Linked DNA regions of Macaca fascicularis. The protein of the gene in region 3 interacts with the protein of the main gene of each other region in a biochemical or structural test. Links are inferred from orthologs where the notes say so. Each region holds a gene or a part of one and is shown on either strand. Other genes may lie near its edges.

Region 1 (3,517 bases), on a different chromosome or scaffold from region 3:
GCTGTTTCATGTCTCCTGAAGGAAATGAAGAAGGAACACACTTGTTCTCACCTGCCATAGACACTCTGGAGGGACTGATCAATGCCACCTGGCTTCCTCCAACTCCCAGTGGAAGCAACCAAGCTACTCTACTTGAAGGTCAAAGCCCAGCTGAGTAGCAGGCAGTATATATTTATAGTAGATTAAAACTGGATATTCTCCTTATCTACCTCCAGCATCTTTTGGTTCTGAAATAAGAAATGTACTTTTCACAGTAGACCCTGGATAATGCTGGTTCCTCCCTTTAAATGATACTGTGGAGATAATAATGGTTATGAGAATCTGGTTCTATCACAACCCACCTTGTGCTAGTAAATCATCAGATGTAAACTCTGGTTCATATGGTTTCCCATTTAATATGTCAAATACCTGTTGGCAAGAAAAACACCAGAAATTGTTACACATCAAAGGGACCACTAGGGCAGTCTGTTTCTTTATGATAAAGAACTCAGCATGTCCTCCTTAGGAGGGTCTGGTACCCTAATGATGGAGGAATGGCAAGAGGAGTCAGGACCACCCTCCAAGAATATGGTACCCTTTGGGGGAAGAACAAGCTGTGGGAGCTCTGGTGCTGGGAAGTTGTGCTTTGTACAAACTCTCTGAGCTGGGTCAGAATACCCAACCAAACTGCAGAGAGTCAGAGCTATAGCCTTTTGGAAGGAACAGGCAGTCCAGGCCACCATGTCAATCATCTCCTGCTCAGAGACCTAAGGCTAGGGAAGAGCTTACTCAGAGCTGTGAAGCTGTGTCCCCTCTTCCATAGTAACAAGCTTGTGAGAATTAACTGTATAAGCTTGCTGAAATGTCTAGATGTTCACAAGGCTTGGTGTTAACCCTCTGGCAATACTGACGTTTTAACTGAGGTCGAGAAATGTCTTAGGCTAAAAGAAAAAGAATTCCAAAGCTGCAGAAGCACTTGTGGTGTTCTCTGCAGTCACTCTGTTGCAGGCTGACCTGGGTAAGGCGAGCGTGGGGTCACTGAGTGCATCATCTTTTTGTGTTCTGTGGCAAGGCCTTCTGGGGAAATGAGGTGCTAACATAAAGGGAGAACCATGTAGTCTCTGCCAACACCAGTGAGCTGGACACAAACAGGCTGTGGGAGGCAGATGAGCAGTTATAGAAGTGGAGCAGCTCTCGCCTCTAGAAGAACTGATCTTGTCTTGCTGGAGATCTTGCACACTGCCCACCTCCTCCCTCTGGCTTTTCTTCCCAGGGCCAAACGACCTAATAACTGCTTTATACCTTCAGATCTCAGCCCTGTGGAGTTTTGAGGAAGGTTTTAAATCTATTTACTCTGTTTTATATTTATTGAAATTCTAAGAAGAATTCTTAGTTTATTTTTACATCCCGAAATCACTTAGCTAAGTTCTAAGCAAACAGTAACATTTATCCTAGCTTCAGAAATTGAGATGGTAACAGTTCTGGTGTGAATTCAGAATGGGTAACTTTTATGTGAATTTTGTGTTTTTCTTCTAACCTTTTCTCACATCTCAACTCTGATCTGATTAGGCATACACTTTCGTACTTAGAACTCAGCTGACCTAGATCTTTCATGGATAGGGTTTTTCAAGATAAAAATGGTCTCTGACAAACAGACTTTCTTAAAAATAAAAGGCATGTTCTTTGGGAAATAAAGCACCGGGAAGACCATCTGTTCTTACATTCCTGAACCTCTGACTCCCTCAGGGGCAGCCATCAGACAGATGGAGCGGCACTCACCTGCCAGCTGGCAGCCATATCTAGAGGCGTGGTTCCAGGCACAACTCCTTCATCCTCTCCTGCATTTTCCCAAGAGTCATCCAGGTCATAGAGAGGCTCAAAGTTCTCCACCAGGGGATCTGCTCCTGCAAAGTTAGGTTACACAGCATTAGGTAAACCCACATCTTGTCAACTTTCAACTGCCTGCAAAGGTCAGATTCCCAAAGGCAAAGCACTGTAGCAGCTTGAGGCAATCTCTTGGATAATTTTTAATGCATAAAACGTTTCCACTGGAATATCCAGAGAAATTGTTTTAAAATTGTAATTTGCTTTGATTGTTAAAGTGTCTTATGACACCTTAAATAGCCAAAGATACTATCGGAAAAAAAAAAGACTTCAAATACTCTGACTTCACATTTAACTCTACAGGATATTTCTCAATTGAATGATGCATCTTTAATCTGAGGGCTGATGGACAGCATGATTACAGCGACTAGGGTGCACCCTCAGATTAGGGTCCTCACTGTTCAAATTTATGCATGACAATGTATTTCTCAGCCCCTTTTCCTGGACACTCAAAATAGCAAAGATGCTTGATATCTAGTGATACCATGGCCAGTTTCATTGCTGGGTACAGCAGTGCCAGGGTTCTGATCTTTAAATAAACAAACCTGCTAGGATGTATAATTACTGAAATATTTTGGGAAATCTAGTCTGCTCTTTAGCATCCAGCAAAAACAAAAACAACAAACAAATAAATGAAACACCAAAGTAACTCAAAGACTAGAGCTAGAGTTACTTCTCAGAGGCTTAGATTATTTTTATGAGTGTTTAGCTTGATGTCTAATGATGCCATTTTCGAGGGAGGAACTTGTTTTTATCTTGCTGGGAGAACATCAGATGTGTCAATATCAATAATAGAAGAGTACTTAATGGGAAGCAAAGGAGGATCTTCATGCTATTTCTTGATTTTACTCTCCCAGTTCTGGCCTAATCTATGAGGCAATAAATGTAATCCCACCAAAAAAACCATGGAGAAATTAAGATGAACAATTTATAGGACCAAAGACTGGAGGGATGAGCTATCCCTTAACTGACTGTTTTTTTTTTTTTTTTTTTGGTGAGTGCAGTGGCGCAGTCTCGGCTCACCGCAACCTCTACCTCCAGGGCTCAAGTGATTCTCCTGCCTCAGCCTTCCAAGTAGCTGGGATTACAGGTGCCTGCCACCACGCCTGGCTAATTTTTATATTTTTAGTAGAGATGGGGTTTCACCATGTTGGCCAGATGAGTCTCGAACTCCCAACCTCAGGTGATCCACCCACCTCAGCCTCCCAAAGTGCTGGGATTACAGGTGTGAGCCTCCACACTCAGCCTTAACTGACCTTTTCCATGACATTAAGATTCGGGCTTGGTTTTCATCTGAGTTTCTTCATTTATATATCAGAGAAACTGTTACTTGCTATTCCTTTCATGGGATTCTGAGAATTCAATATAAAGCATTTTTAAAAGGGTTATAGTTTCTTTTTCTTTTCTTTTCATTTATGTATTTTTTTTGAGACAGGGTCTCATTCTATAGCTTAGGTTAGAATGCAGTGGTGAAACTGTAGCTCACTGTGCCCTTGAACTCCCAGGCTCAAGCGATACTACTACCTCAGCCTCCCAAGTAGCTGGGACTACAGGCGGGTGACACCATGCCTAGCTACTTTAAAAATTTTTTAATAGATATGAGGTCTTACAATGTTGCCCAGGTTGGTCTCAAACTCCTAGTGCAAGTGATCCT
Region 2 (3,517 bases), on a different chromosome or scaffold from region 3:
AACAAAAAAGGCTCTTAATCAAAAGGAAACCCTAGGTTTCCAATGCCACTTAATTGATTTAAACCATCACCTATCCTAATCTGTTTAAAAACCTTTTGTAAAAAAATTTAAAAATCTTTTCTATGCTACAAATTGCAAATAATTCTGCTATATAAAGTTTCAACAAAAACTTGTCCCTAACACTGGGGTAAGTGGAGAAATCTTGGATAAAATCACCATGATGGCACAGATTTTTATAAGCCTGATATCGTGGGGTTTCACTGTTGTTACTGTTGGTTTTTTGGTCATTTGGATAGAAAACCACCTTTAGAACCCTATCCTGCTGTCCCAACACCAGGTACTGATGCCAGCAGATGGGCTGGGGCCAGCCCGATGGACCGCAAGTGCTGGCCTGAGGGGCGCAGCCACGGACCCTGCCCAGGGCCAGGCCTCACCTGGAGCTTGGGCTCTACTGCCCAGCTCCCCAGGCCATGGGCTTTTGGTCCAAAGTAGTTGCTCTTTCTTTGAATCTGAGAAGAAAAATATAGGATGAATGAACACTAAAAACACTACACATCCTTCCATTACTGAGACCCTAACAGGTCGTCCAAATCATTCATCCACTCCTCTGAAGTCCTGTTCTTCAGCAGGGAGTCGATCAGGTCGGTGTGTCCAGCCACACTAGAGAGCCCACTGCCACCTGGCTGCCCGCTGTAGGCAAAAGGCAGCTCCTGGCCCGCGGTCCGCACAGGGTAGGCCTGGGTACAGTGCAGCCCTGCCCGACTGCCCATCTGTGAGGCAGGGCTCTGGCTGAAGGCCCCCAGCTCAGGCCCTGCTGGACTCAGGCCAGGCAAGCCCTGCTGAGGGGCCGTTGGGGGTGGTGCTGGGGCAGGGGCGCTGGTCCTCTGCTGTGCACTCACTGGGGGTAGCAAGGACCCCACTGCAGCTGCTGAGCTCATGGGAGCCATGGGCCTGTTGGGCACTGCCTGGGAGAACTGCGGGCTAGACATTTTCAGGTGGGCCTGCTGCTGCATGTGGAAACTGGAGGCTGCAGTGAAGGGACTCACGTTGCTGTTCCCCGGGGTCTGGCCACTCAGGGTCGGCATTCCCTGATGCTGCCAGGAGGAATTCTGGCCTCCCATGGCTGGTGACACCCTTGGGACCGGCGGCTTTGTTAAGCCAGGGTTCAGGGTCCCCTTATTGTGCTGCTGGGAGAGGCCAGAGCTTCCCAGAGAGTTCTGCCCATAGGCAGCTGAGACGGAGGCGTTCTGGCCGGTCTGCCGTGGAATGTGGGCATGTCCATTGGTGGCCTGTGGCGGGGGCTGGGCAACTATCTGGGTTATGCCAGAAGCCATGCCATAGAGGCTGCTCTGAGGCATGTTTTGGGAGCCAGGGAACTGAGCCACACCCCGGTCCTGTTGGCCTGAGTTTGCAGGGAGAGAGGAAACTGAAGCATGTCCAGGGCCCATCTGCATCAGATTCCCAGCCTGAGGGAACACTCGAGGACAGCTGGAGTTGGAGGGACCCAAGGTGTTCATGCCGGGCACGGCAGCAGAGGACCCTACAAGACAGAGAAGAGTCTGGCAGTCAGGAGTGGACCACCACGGGGCCCCTCTGAGACCTGAGCCGCAGCACCAGAAGTCTCATGTTCACAGCACACTGGGAAGAAGGCCCTGGGGACCACAGGGCAGAAAGCCTCCCACAGGTGGAATGGAGGACTGGTCTCTGAAACAATGATGGGGTTCAGAAAGGCACAGAGGAAGGGCAAAGCCCCAGGGGAGAGAAAACCAGTAACCTGCTTCATTTAACTTTCAAGCACCCACCAAATTTCTGCTCTGTGGGGACCCTGTGGTGGGCACTGGGGACTCTGAGGTGGGCCCAACGCAAGATCCACCTCTGGGAGGCAAAGTTAGCACATGGCATGATGGGGTGTGATGGGGCACACCTGGCCAGCAGGCTGCAGGGTGCAGGCCAGAAGCCCTGGCATCTGGGAAGCCTTGGGGAAGGCTTCAGAGAGACGGTGATGAATCCACTGGGTTTACAATCACATAAATTTAGCAATTTAACAGTTTGGGGAAAAAGAGCATTCCAGGCAAGTGTGTACAAATGCAGAATCAGAAAAAGGCATCTGGGTGGGAAACTTTCAGAGGCTGGCCGTGGCCAGGGTATGGAGATAGTGGCCAGCTGATTACATATAAAACGGAAGAGCTAGTTCCGGCCAGATAGGGAAGAGCTGTGGATGGCGTATGAATAACGGGGTTGTGGCTGGGCACGGTGGCTCATGCCTGTAATCCCAGTACTTTGGGAGGCCGAGACAGGAGAATCACGAGGTCAGGAGATCAAGACCATACTGCCCCAAACATGGTGAAACCCTGCCTCCACTAAAAATACAAAAATTAGCTGGGTGTGGCGGCGCACGCCCCCAGCTACTCGGGAGGCTGGGGCAGGAGAACTGCTTGAACCTCGGAGGCGGAGGCTGCAATGAGCCGAGATCACGCCTCTGCACTCCAGCCTGGGCGAAAGCAAGACTCTGTCTCCAAACAAACAGAAAAAAAAAGAATGGCGCTGTAAAGCCCAAGAGTGGCTGGACTGAGAGTGCGGCTGAGACCATGCTGGGAAGAGGCTGTTCAGTCATGCAGATGAGGGGGGGCAGACTATGTGGGAATGGGGGGTGGAGGCGCAGGACTGTGTGACAACATCTCACCAGACAATATACCATCTTATGTCACACGATTTATACTATGAAATGACAAGATGGCCAAGGGAGGGAGAAGTCACAGGAAATTACCAGATCTTCACTGAGTACCCACTCTGTGGCAGGTGCTGTGCTGGAGAGAGAGAGCAGAGGATGGAACAGAAAGCACCCCTGTGCTCAGGGAACTGCTGTCTAGGCCTCCTGGCTTAAGCAATAGACACATGGCAACACCATTAACTGAAATAGGTTTTGTGGGTAGGAGAGTCATTGTTCAGAGATTGGCCGTAACTCAGTGCTTTTTTCTTCTTCCTCTCTACTAGCAACTATATAATAAAAATTGGGGCCGGGCACGGCGGCTCACGCCTGTAATCCCAACACTGTGGGAGGCTGAGGCCAGCGGATCACGAGGTCAGGTGTACAAGGCCAGCCTGGCCAACATGGTGAAACCCCGTCTCTACTAAAAACACAAAAATTAGCCGGGTGTGGTGGCAGGCACCTGTAATCCCAGCTACTTGAGAGGCTGAGGCAGGAGAATGGCTTGAACCTAGGAAGTGGAGGTTGCAGTGAGCCAAGATCTTGCCACGCACTACAGCCTGGGTGACAGACCAAGACTCTGTCTCAAAACAACAACAACAAAATTGGATTGAGGAAAAGAGGAGAGCTGAAACAGGCTATTTCATTCCCATCAATAATCCACAAAATGTCAGATGGGTTTGAAGGCAGAAAACACAGGTCAGGCCCATGCTTCTGAGATGCCTGCAGATTTCAACCCCATGTTGACCCCAGGTAGCACAAACATGAAAGCGCACCCGGTCTCTTCCAGACACACAGCTGTGGTCAGTC
Region 3 (3,517 bases):
GGCAGCTGCTGTCAGATCAGACCTGGCTTCCCGCCGCCCCAGGCTGCCTCGCCACGTCCTGACTGTGGCGTCATGGGCTGCGGTATCCCTGGGGCAGCGTCCCCGGCTGGTGGGTGGGGGAGGAGGAAGCCTCGGGCCCCAGCCCCTGTCTGGTTATCCCCCCAGCTCCATCGTCTACCTGGAGATTGACAACCGGCAGTGTGTGCAGGCCTCCTCGCAGTGCTTCCAGAGCGCCACCGACGTGGCCGCCTTCCTGGGGGCGCTCGCCTCGCTGGGCAGCCTCAACATCCCCTACAAGATCGAGGCCGTGCAGAGTGAGTGGCTCCTTCTCTGTTCCCCAGCCCAGCATCGCCGGGAACAGGCTCTACCTCCAGGGGATGCCATCCCCTTGTGCCCCAGACACGCTGGTTGGTTGTGCCAGTTGCCACCCACGGGTGTGCACGTCACCATCCGAGTTGGGGTAGGGCTTTTCTGGAATTTTCTGAATGGCACTCCCTCCCCACCTGTGGCGGTGACAGCTGCCGGTGGAGCCACCCGGGAACGAGTCCAGTCACGGGAAAATGGGTGCCTGCTTCTCTCCCCACCCCTTCCCCCTGAATTTTCTTTGTTGGGTATTATTTCAAAATCATTACGGCTTTTTTTAAAGAAAAAAAAGAGAGAGAGAGAAGAATTGATCGGTGTCATGTGAAGTGTTGAAGTTTGTATCTTGAAAATCCCTCTAAATCCTTTGTCTTAACAGCTCAATGCAAGTGCAGCGATTTGAAGTTGACTAATCCTCCTCCCTTAAAGGAGAAAAAAGTAAAAGCCGTCTCCAGATAGAGTCGGCTGGTGCAGGAGAGAATTTAGCGATAGTTTGCAATTCTGATTAATCGCGTAGAAAATGACCTTATTTTGGGGGGCGGGATGGAGGAGAGTGGGTGAGGAGGCGCCTGGCCGCGGAGCCAGTCCGCTGCCCCCCGGCCACCAGCCTGCTGCGTAGCCGCCGCCTGATGTCCCAGCGCCTGCCCCTGGCCCCTGTGCCCGCAGGTGAGACCGTGGAGCCGCCCCCGCCGGCGCAGCTGCATTTCATGTACGTGGCGGCGGCCGCCTTTGTGCTCCTGTTCTTCGTGGGCTGCGGGGTGCTGCTGTCCCGCAAGCGCCGGCGGCAGCATGGCCAACTCTGGTTCCCTGAGGGCTTCAAGGTGTCCGAGGCCAGCAAGAAGAAGCGGCGGGAGCCCCTCGGCGAGGACTCTGTGGGCCTGAAGTGAGCGGACGCTGCCCCTGCTTCTGGGGCCCCGGGGGGAGGTGGGACCTGGCCAAGCATCCTCATGGGGGGTCTGCCCCTCCTGATGCAGGGCCCACTTCCCACGCGAGGCCTGGGCTAGGGGCCTCTGGGGGCTTCCTAGGGAGCTTTCTCAGCCTCACTTCTCGAACCCTCACCCCCAGGCCCCTGAAGAACGCCTCAGATGGTGCCCTCATGGACGACAACCAGAATGAGTGGGGGGACGAGGACCTGGAGACCAAGAAGTTCCGGGTGAGTCGCAAGGCTCCCGGGCTCCCGGGCTCCTGGGCACCTGCCACCGGGCTGCCCTGACACACCTCTGCTCACTCCTCCTACGTAGTTCGAGGAGCCCGTGGTTCTGCCTGACCTGGACGACCAGACAGACCACCGGCAGTGGACTCAGCAGCACCTGGATGCCGCTGACCTGCGCATGTCTGCCATGGCCCCCACGCCGCCCCAGGGTGAGGTTGACGCCGACTGCATGGACGTCAATGTCCGCGGGCCTGGTAAGGGTGCCAGCAGCCAGGGCTTCCCTAGCTCCGTGGCCCACCTGCCTCTCTCCCCTAAGCCCCGAGGCTGGGGTACGGTTGATACTCTGGAAACTTAGAGTTGGGGGTGAGAGCTTTCATCCTTGGGGTATTTCCCGTTCAGAGTGGATGGGGGGTCCTGGAGTCCTCCTGTTCTTCCATCAACCCTCTCCTGGGGCGATGCCGCACGGTCACTATGTCCCTGTAAATTACTCTCTTCTGAAACCTCTTTCTTGAGATATGAAAAGCGTAGATTTTCTTTTTTTTTTTTTCTTTTTTTGAGACAGAGTCTTGCTCTGTCACCCAGGCTAGAGTGCAGCGGCACGATCTCAGCTCCCCGCAGCCTCCACCTCTTGGATTCAAGCAATTCTCCTGCCTCAGCCTCCCAAGTAGCTGGGATTACAGGCACCCACCACCACGCCCAGCTACTTTTTGTATTTTTAGTAGAGACGGAGTTTCACCACGTTGGCCAGGCTGGTCTCGAACTCCTGATCTCAGGGGATCCGCCTGCCTCAGCCTCCCACAGTGCTGCAGCTATAGCGTGAGCCACTGTGCCCATGAGCCGCTGCACCCAGCCAAAGCGTTGATTTTCTAACTGCATGTTTCTGGCGTCATCTTTTTCCTGGGTGGATTTTGGGTGCCTGGTCTTGGGCAGGTCAGGAAGCAGCTGCCCGTCAGGAGTTGACTGCTGGACTCAGCTCTGTCCACTGAGCAGCCCAGGCGGACTTCAGCTGCCCCTTGGTGGCTGCGTGGTGCATCTACACTGTGGCCCATTGAGCTCGGGGCTGCTGCCCCCCTCCCCCTGGGCTGCAGCTGGGGACCAGCCCTCCAGACTGAGCACCCGTCTCTGCCCCTGCAGACGGCTTCACCCCCCTCATGATCGCCTCCTGCAGTGGGGGCGGCCTGGAGACGGGCAACAGCGAGGAGGAGGAGGACGCGCCGGCCGTCATCTCCGACTTCATCTACCAGGGCGCCAGCCTGCACAACCAGACCGACCGCACGGGCGAGACTGCCTTGCACCTGGCTGCCCGCTACTCACGCTCTGATGCCGCCAAGCGCCTGCTGGAGGCCAGCGCAGACGCCAACATCCAGGACAACATGGGCCGCACCCCGCTGCACGCAGCTGTGTCTGCCGACGCACAAGGTGTCTTCCAGGTAGGCAGCAGCTGCCTGTGTGCCCACCTGCCCTCCTCAGGGCACCGGGTGGTCCGGGACAGTGGCCAGGCTTACGTAGCCATGGGAGCCTGACCCCGAGCACAGCTGAGTCCGGGACAGCTGGTGCCTCCACCCAGGACCTTTGCAGTCAGCGAGGTGCGACGGGAGGGGGCGGGGTCGGGCGCATCTGTGTTCTCCAGGGAAGCCAGGCAGAGGCGGGTCTGGCAGGAGGCCTGGGGGACCTGCTGAGTGAGGCAGCGCCTGCCCACCCCCCGCAAGACAGGCTCCATCAGGGTTGTGGGCCTTGCTCAAGGTCCAGGTCCCACCGCTGCAGCCCCTCGCGGCCCCACCCCTCCCTCAACCCTGGCTGCCGGCGTAGCCTGTGGCAGTGAGAAGAAGGGTTTAGAGGCTGCCGCTTGGTGCCTGCGGACCTAGGGCTCAGCTTGCCGGTGAGCTCGTGGCAAGAAATGGATTTAGGGATTTGGATGCCTGGGTCTCCGGGGAACGTCCCTGGCAGGGGCTGCCTTTGCAGTCACCCCTGCTGTGAGTCCCCAGGCTCCAGGCGGCCCTAGAG
Region 4 (3,517 bases), on a different chromosome or scaffold from region 3:
GTGAGGGAAGAAGGAGTACAGAAAGCAACATTTCCTTGACTTCTTTAGTCTAATTGCAAGGCAGCTTTTCTCTAGGAATGCTTTTTCCCACATCTTTCAAAATCACCCCTCACAGTACTCTGGGCCTGGACTTGTTCCTTGGGACCTTTGGGATTAGTGAAAAGAGTACTAATCAGGAGACAAAGTCTGTTTTGCTCCTTTGACCTCTACCCCCTGCTCCCTGTCTGGTATGGACAAGATACACAGCCATAGGGATTGCTTAAAGTTCAATTTCAAACGTCTTCTGTAAGTCACTGGAGAAAGGGTTGGTAGGGGAGGGATTAGTACGCTGCTTGGACTTGTTTTCTAATGCAGCCCACTGGGCTTCAAAAGGATCCACCGGGCAGGTGCCTGTAGGAACCTCTGTATGCTTGTCTGCTGAGGCCAACCTGCCATCATCTATACCATTGAAAGCTGCAGAACCGTTGAGGTGCTGAGCAGGAGGCTTAAAGAAGGGACTGGTGGTAGCACTGCTTGCCTCGTAATGAGGGAATGTCTGCTGCCTGACCAGGCTGGGTGACTGATGGGGGTGGGCAGCCTGAGGGTGGCCTGCAGTGCCAAATACGTTGGCCACCATCTGGGAGGGAGTGATGCCCACCACAGGCACATTAGGGGCTGGATAGGGCATTCCATTGGCCACAGGATAAGACTGGGCAGGGACAAAGGCTGGCTGCAGGGCTGGGACTACACCCACTGGCACAGGCTGAGAGGTGAGGAATGCATTCCCTTGGAAAGGTGGTGCTGGCTGGGAGATGGCAGTGGGTGGAGGAGGCTGGAGAACTGGCTGCAGAGGAGCAGCTGATGCCTGGGGCTGCTGAGCCCGGATGCTCTTAGACACCTCTTCTAACCATCGGTCGGCCTCAGAGGGAGTACGTCTATGACCGGCCTGGAAGAGACCTGGAGAGGCAGCACCAGAAGATTGACCCCACTCGGTCCCTGGAACCAACAAGATGAGAGACAAAAGAATCCGTTAGGTGCATCTTTCCTCACCTTATTTGAATGATCCTAACATGTACAACATGTCACCCCAGTGGGACATTTTGTGGTTTTGATAGGTAGGAGGAAAGTCTATTACCAACTGGGATTTTGTGGTAGGATGAAGAAAACTTGTCAAGACCATGCTGCTGTGTCAGCCACACTGAAGCACTGTCTAGATATAGCTCAAATGCATTAAACCAAGGCAGCTGACTGATGTCAGAAACCCCTCCCTGTTGGTATGGCTCATCCACAATACAGAAACTAGCTGGTTGTGGTGGCTCGCACCTGTCATCCCGGCTACTTGTGAGGTTGAGGCAGGAGGACTACTTGAGCCCAAGAGTTCGAGGCTGCAGTGAGCTATGACTATGCCACTGCAGTCTGGCCTGGGCAACACAGTGAGAACTCTGTCTTTAAAAAAAAAAAAAAAAAAAAAAAAAAAACCCAGGCGCGCCGAGGTGGGCGGATCACCTAAGGTCAAGAGATCGAGACTATCCTGGCCAACATGATGAAACCCCGTCTCTACTAAAAATATAAAAATTAGCTGGGCGTGGTGATATGTATCTGTAGTCCCAGCTACTCAGGAGGCTAAGGCAAGAGAATTGCTTGAACCTGAGAGGCAGAGGGTGCAGTGAACCGAGATACTCTGGCCTGGTGACAGAGCAAGACTCTGTCTCAGAAAACGAACAAACAAAAAAAACCTAGCTTGCACATCCTCTAAAGGGCCCAAGGCAATTCATCTTCTGCTCTCACACAGCAAAAAGAAAATAACCAGTAATCTGGCCATATCTTGCTGGCCCCTGCCTGGCTTCCAGAAATATGTTGTCTTTGTGGTGAACTGCCTGTATTACTTATGTTAAAACCTTTTGAGGCCAGGTGTGGTGGCTCACACCTATAATCCCAGCACTTTTGGAGGCCAAGGTGGGTGGATCACGAGGTCAGTTCAAAACCAGCCTGGCCAACATGGTGAAACCCCATTTCTGCTAAAAGTACAAAAATGAGTTGGGCATGGTGACATGTACCTGTAGTCCCAGCTACTTGGGAGGCTGAGGCAGGAGAGTTGCTTGAACCCTAGAGATGGAGGTTGCAGTGAGCCAAGATTGTGCCACTGCACTCCAGCCTGGGTGACAGAACAATACTCCGTCTCAAAAAAAAAAAAAAATTTTTTTTTTGGTTATTATAATTAATAGATGTCTTTTACAGAAAAACTAGAAGGTACAAAAAAGCAAAAATGAAGTGCTTTTTGTAACACTTTTTGTAGGCCTCCTATTGTACGAGGCAGGGCCTCCTCTTTCTACAGGCATGTCTGCACGTCACCAAATCCAGTGATGGATTTTCTGAGGTGGGGCCCTGGAATCTGCTTTTTTTTTTTCTTTTTTTGAGACAGAGTATTGCTCTGGCGCTCAGGCTGGAGTGCAGTGGCACAATCTTGGCTCACTGCAACCTCCGTCTCCTGGGTTCAAGCGATTCTCCTGCCTCAGCCTCAAGTAGCTAGGACTGGACTATATGTGCATGCCACCACGTCTGGCTAAATAAAGACAGGGTTTCACCATGTTGGCCAGGATGGTCTCACTCTCCTGACCTCGTGATCCACCCACCTCGGCCTCCCAAACTGCTGGGATTACAGGCATGAGTCACCACGCCTAGCCGGAATCTGTATTTTATAAAAGCTCTACGGATGGTTTGGTTCCACAGTCCTAATGACTATTAGTCTCTCTTTTGTTCTCCTTCACCATCCTTATGTAAGCAGCTTATTTTCAGGAGGGAACGTAGGTTTCCTGAAAGGATTCCTCCCTAGTTCCCACTCAGCTAACTGGCTGAGTTTTAGAACCAGGGTCACTTATCTGATCCCAGAAATCCTCAACACCATCTGTGGCCACCTTACCCGAACATGTGGCTGCAATTTCCTTGTTAGCAGCATCAGGGGCATGGGCCCAAGGGTTGGTTTCACGCACAGGCATTGCTACGGGTGCTAGAGCAGTATGGGCTGGCTTAGCAGCAAGCACATGGAAGGCTGAGTCAGTGCCATTAGCTACAATGGGAGCAGACAACATCAATGGAGTTAATTCATGCAGGGTGTACAAGTGATCCCTTGGAGCTGCGTCAGTCAAGTGAATGTACAATACTGGTGGAATGGAGAGAGAGAAGAGTTGATATTTGGGAAAACCATGATATCTTGCATTGGATGTACATACCATTAGGCAAAGAAGGAATTAGAGGTTGTAATTTTTAAATGGTTGTATAGTAAAGTCAAATGACTGTCCTAGGAAAATATGTTCATAGGGAGAGGGGAAATGAAACCTACAACAACAATTTCAAATTAAGGTGAACAGAGCTGCTCTGTCTTAGGAGTAGCAAAAAATATCTAACTATTCTAAATATAGCTTAGCCTTTGGCACAATGAAGTAGGTACAGCATTTCCCTCTTCTTCACTTTTCCAAAAGGTCAAATTATGTTAACAATAATACTGGTTAAAAATAGGCCAGGCATGGTGGCTTATGCC
Region 5 (3,517 bases), on a different chromosome or scaffold from region 3:
AAGAGAACTTCAGAGCAACAAGAGTACCTGAGATAACGTATTTTGTATAAGGAATAAAATACTCTTAAAAAAATGTATACATTGCTTGCTATCATCCTACTGCCATCCAAAGAATGTGTTTTATTTTTTACACAATTCTGACCCTCCACAGAAGGGTGTGCATTTGGCAGCTTGCTGCTACATCCTGGTAATGAAGGTTGTCAGGCCGGGCGCGGTGGATCAAGCCTGTAATCCCAGCACTTTGGGAGGCCGAGACGGGCGGATCACAAGGTCAGGAGATCAAGACCATCCTGGCTAACACAGTGAAACCCGGTCTGTACTAAAAAATACAAAAAAAACTAGCTGGGCAAGGTGGCGGGCACCTGCAGTCCCAGCTACTCAGGAGGCTGAGGCAGGAGAATGGCGTAAACCCGGGAGGCGGAGCTTGCAGTGAGCTGAGATCCGGCCACTGTACTCCAGCCTGGGTGACAGAGCGAGACTCCATCTCAAAAAAAAAAAAAAAAAAAAAAAAAAAAAAAAAAAAAGAAGGTTGTCAAGTGTTCCAAAAGGTCACATCAGAAAGTATTACAGAGAGCCTAAACGAAACAGCTTATTTTAACTTGGCTGCTAGGGTAAGAATCTGAAGATCCGGCTACCAAGCTTAGTAGAATCCAACCTGATGACCGAGCTTCTGCTTCTTAGGCAGGTACAGCCATGGGCAGCGTAACAATGTTTCGGTCAACGATGGACTGCACAGATGATGGTCCCACAAGATTCTAATGGAGCTGAAAATGCCCTGTTGCCTAGTGACGTCTTGATGCTCCTGACCCTGTTCAGGCCCAGGCTGATGTTTGTGTCTTAGTTTTAAGTTTAAAAAGTTAAAAACTAATTTTAACAGAAAAAAGCTTATAGAATAAGAATAAAAAGGAAGAAAATATTTTTTGTATAGCTGTACAGTGTTTCAAGCTAAGTGTTCTCATGAGTCAAAAAGTTTAGAATTTTTAATTTAAAAGTAAAATAAACAGTAAAAAGGTTACAGTAGGCTAAGGTTTATTTCTTATTGAGGAAAAATGTGTAAATCAACGTAGTACAGCCTAAGTGTACGGTGTTTATAAAGCTCGGCTTTGTTCAGTACTGTCCTAGGCCTTCACATTCACTCAGCACTCATCACCGACTCACTCACCCAGAGTCACTCCAGTCTTGCAAGCTCCATTCATGATGAGTGCTCTGTACAGGTGAAGCATTTTTCATCTTTTATACCCTATCTGTACTGTATCTTTTCTATGTCTAAATGTGTTCAGGCACACAAATACTTAGCACTGTGTTACAACGGCCTACAGTACTCAGTAGTGACATGCTGGACACGGAGCAATAGGCTGCACCACTAGCCGAAGGCTCTACCATCTGTATTTGTGTAGTACTCTCTGATGTTAACATGCACATCTCAGAGCACACATCCATCGTTACGCAACATGTGGCTGTGTGAGCACACATACCTCTTTCATACCGTGCTGCATTTCTGACTTCCTACTGTAACTTTTTAAAAACAACCTGTGAATTATGCAGCTTTCCATTTTTATTGTAATTGTTTCTACCTTGGAGCCTTAGCACTTCAAAATAAAATATTAACTTTGGGCTGAACTCTTAACATTATTCTCTTCCTTTCAAGAGCTGACGTTGATTTATCAAAATTCTGAATAAAATCCATTTACTCAATGCAAAATAGGCATAAAAACAAAAACATGTTATTTCACAAAATGCTTTCTTATATCTTAAGAAATATAAAAAGGAAGGAGCACACAGTGAGTACAAATCAGGATTATCACACCAAAGGTATATCACAGAAAAAGTCCATTATACATTCACACCGTGGAGCAGAATTACTTGAACAAAAGGCAAGAAATGGAAATGTAACTTGTCAACAGAAAAGAACTAACAGGCATGGATCTTTCACTTAACTTAAAGTTTTGACAACCCTCTCCTCCCATTTGTTTCTATATTGTCTTACTTCTAGAGAACATTTAAGACATAGGCATTCTTCAGACACTGCTATTAACACACAGGTAATCTACCATTGTTATGGGTAACACTCTAACACCACAGTCTATAAGACCAGTTGATGAGGTCTGTTCCCATCTTCACTCTAGATTTGTATCTTTTCAACTATACCTGCAATCTTTATGGCTACGGGATCCTCTGAAACTGGAACAAGCCCTTCTTTGACTTCAACCTGCTTTTCAGAAACCAGGGGAGATATGGCGGGAGGGGAATACTTAGTTTCCACATAGGCCATCGGCGAGGAGGAAGAGGGCTTAGAATCGTGAAAGAGACTGGCCCAGGACTTGGGCTGGCTGACAGGAAGGGTGCCTGATGCAGAGCCTGTGCCGTCAGCCGGAGGTGATGCATTCTCGGGTTTGGTTGGGTCCAAGTCTATGCTTTCCGTGGTGTGCAACTCCACCCCATTGGTAGCTGTGCCCTCACCCGAGGATTCAAGTATTTGTCCATTAGCAACTCCAAGGTTTTCAGTAGTATCGGTACCAACGCAGGGCTGAGCCCCAGCTGTCCTTGACAGGGTGTCTCTGCCAGCCTCTGCAGGGAAGCAGGACTGACCAAAATCAGCCCCGGGGCTCCCCTCTGGCTGCCCTGCAGTCCTGGTGTCACTGCTGAGTGCTCCGGGGAAAGGACTGTCAGGCACAGTGTCACTGACAGAGTCTGTGGAGTTCTGGGGGCTGTTACAAGTCCTGGGCGTAACTGACGGGGGCATGTCACCCATAAATTCTGCATCCTCTGCACTGACACTGTTCGGGACTGCTGAACTGGCATGGCCATTGACCAGGGCTTCTGTGGAAATACTATCATCACCGCCATCTTTCAAATAGCTGTAATATCCAGGTGGCCGCTTTTTCTTCTTTTTACGCTCCCTTTGTCCAAGACCACCTGAGACACCATCATTTTCCAAAACTTCCGCCTCCACATTAGAACTTCCATCCAAAGCGAGGGCAGAGCCTGGGTACTGGCAGTCGATGGAGCCATAGTTTGCTTCTTTAGTGATACCATCAGGGGTTGTTTTGGAAGTTGTACAACCGAGAATAAATTCAGGGGCCTGAGGGTTCAGTGTGCTTGAAATACTGTAGCTGGGGGTTCTCGGCAAAGTGTCACTGGGTTCGATGACTTCATTGACACCAAACTCAATTCTCTGATATTCTTGTCCTGTTTAGAAAACAAACTATTAGTTAAGAATACAGTTCTACAAACTCTAAGTACCAGTAATTACTCACTTTCTCTTTGAAAATGAAAACCTTAAATTCTCTTCCTAATCAACAAACCTATTACGTCCTTTACTTATGTGGAACAATTTGCTGAAAATGAAACCATAAAATTATTTAATTTGGGGATATGAAAAGCAGAAGCCTGTACTTATCTTCCTAGCTAAGGAAGGCTTTCAGAAAGTAGAAATTAAAATACATTTGTAATAAAAAGCAAGTAATATTCTGCCAGTTTAAAAATATCCCTCAATGGAATCTGACTTTCTTATAGC

What was found. The genes of interacting proteins can lie anywhere in the genome.
Region 1: the proteins of NOTCH1 (region 3) and NFKB1 form a complex in vitro, tested with the Homo sapiens proteins (2 studies listed by BioGRID). The link is inferred for Macaca fascicularis from reciprocal best matches to the Homo sapiens genes NOTCH1 and NFKB1.
Region 2: the proteins of NOTCH1 (region 3) and MAML1 form a complex in vitro, tested with the Homo sapiens proteins (2 studies listed by BioGRID). The link is inferred for Macaca fascicularis from reciprocal best matches to the Homo sapiens genes NOTCH1 and MAML1.
Region 4: the proteins of NOTCH1 (region 3) and NUMB form a complex in vitro, tested with the Homo sapiens proteins (2 studies listed by BioGRID). The link is inferred for Macaca fascicularis from reciprocal best matches to the Homo sapiens genes NOTCH1 and NUMB.
Region 5: the proteins of NOTCH1 (region 3) and USP10 form a complex in vitro, tested with the Homo sapiens proteins (2 studies listed by BioGRID, with this or other methods). The link is inferred for Macaca fascicularis from reciprocal best matches to the Homo sapiens genes NOTCH1 and USP10.

What each region holds. Positions count from the first base shown.
Region 1 is NC_088379.1:108,284,485-108,288,001, reverse strand, and holds part of NFKB1 (nuclear factor NF-kappa-B p105 subunit), read right to left. Parts: intron 1,884-3,517; coding exon 1,759-1,883; intron 409-1,758; coding exon 342-408; intron 16-341; coding exon 1-15.
Region 2 is NC_088380.1:186,656,377-186,659,893, reverse strand, and holds part of MAML1 (mastermind-like protein 1), read right to left. Parts: intron 1,541-3,517; coding exon 564-1,540; 3' UTR 1-563. UniProt on the Homo sapiens protein: Acts as a transcriptional coactivator for NOTCH proteins. Has been shown to amplify NOTCH-induced transcription of HES1. Enhances phosphorylation and proteolytic turnover of the NOTCH intracellular domain in the nucleus through interaction with CDK8.
Region 3 is NC_088389.1:2,860,899-2,864,415, forward strand, and holds part of NOTCH1 (neurogenic locus notch homolog protein 1), read left to right. Parts: intron 1-165; coding exon 166-314; intron 315-1,026; coding exon 1,027-1,243; intron 1,244-1,425; coding exon 1,426-1,513; intron 1,514-1,601; coding exon 1,602-1,767; intron 1,768-2,647; coding exon 2,648-2,943; intron 2,944-3,517. UniProt on the Homo sapiens protein: Functions as a receptor for membrane-bound ligands Jagged-1 (JAG1), Jagged-2 (JAG2) and Delta-1 (DLL1) to regulate cell-fate determination.
Region 4 is NC_088381.1:141,172,706-141,176,222, forward strand, and holds part of NUMB (protein numb homolog), read right to left. Parts: intron 3,047-3,517; coding exon 2,900-3,046; intron 976-2,899; coding exon 260-975; 3' UTR 1-259. UniProt on the Homo sapiens protein: Regulates clathrin-mediated receptor endocytosis. Plays a role in the process of neurogenesis.
Region 5 is NC_088394.1:80,622,703-80,626,219, reverse strand, and holds part of USP10 (ubiquitin carboxyl-terminal hydrolase 10), read right to left. Parts: intron 3,190-3,517; coding exon 2,149-3,189; intron 1-2,148. UniProt on the Homo sapiens protein: Hydrolase that can remove conjugated ubiquitin from target proteins such as p53/TP53, RPS2/us5, RPS3/us3, RPS10/eS10, BECN1, SNX3 and CFTR.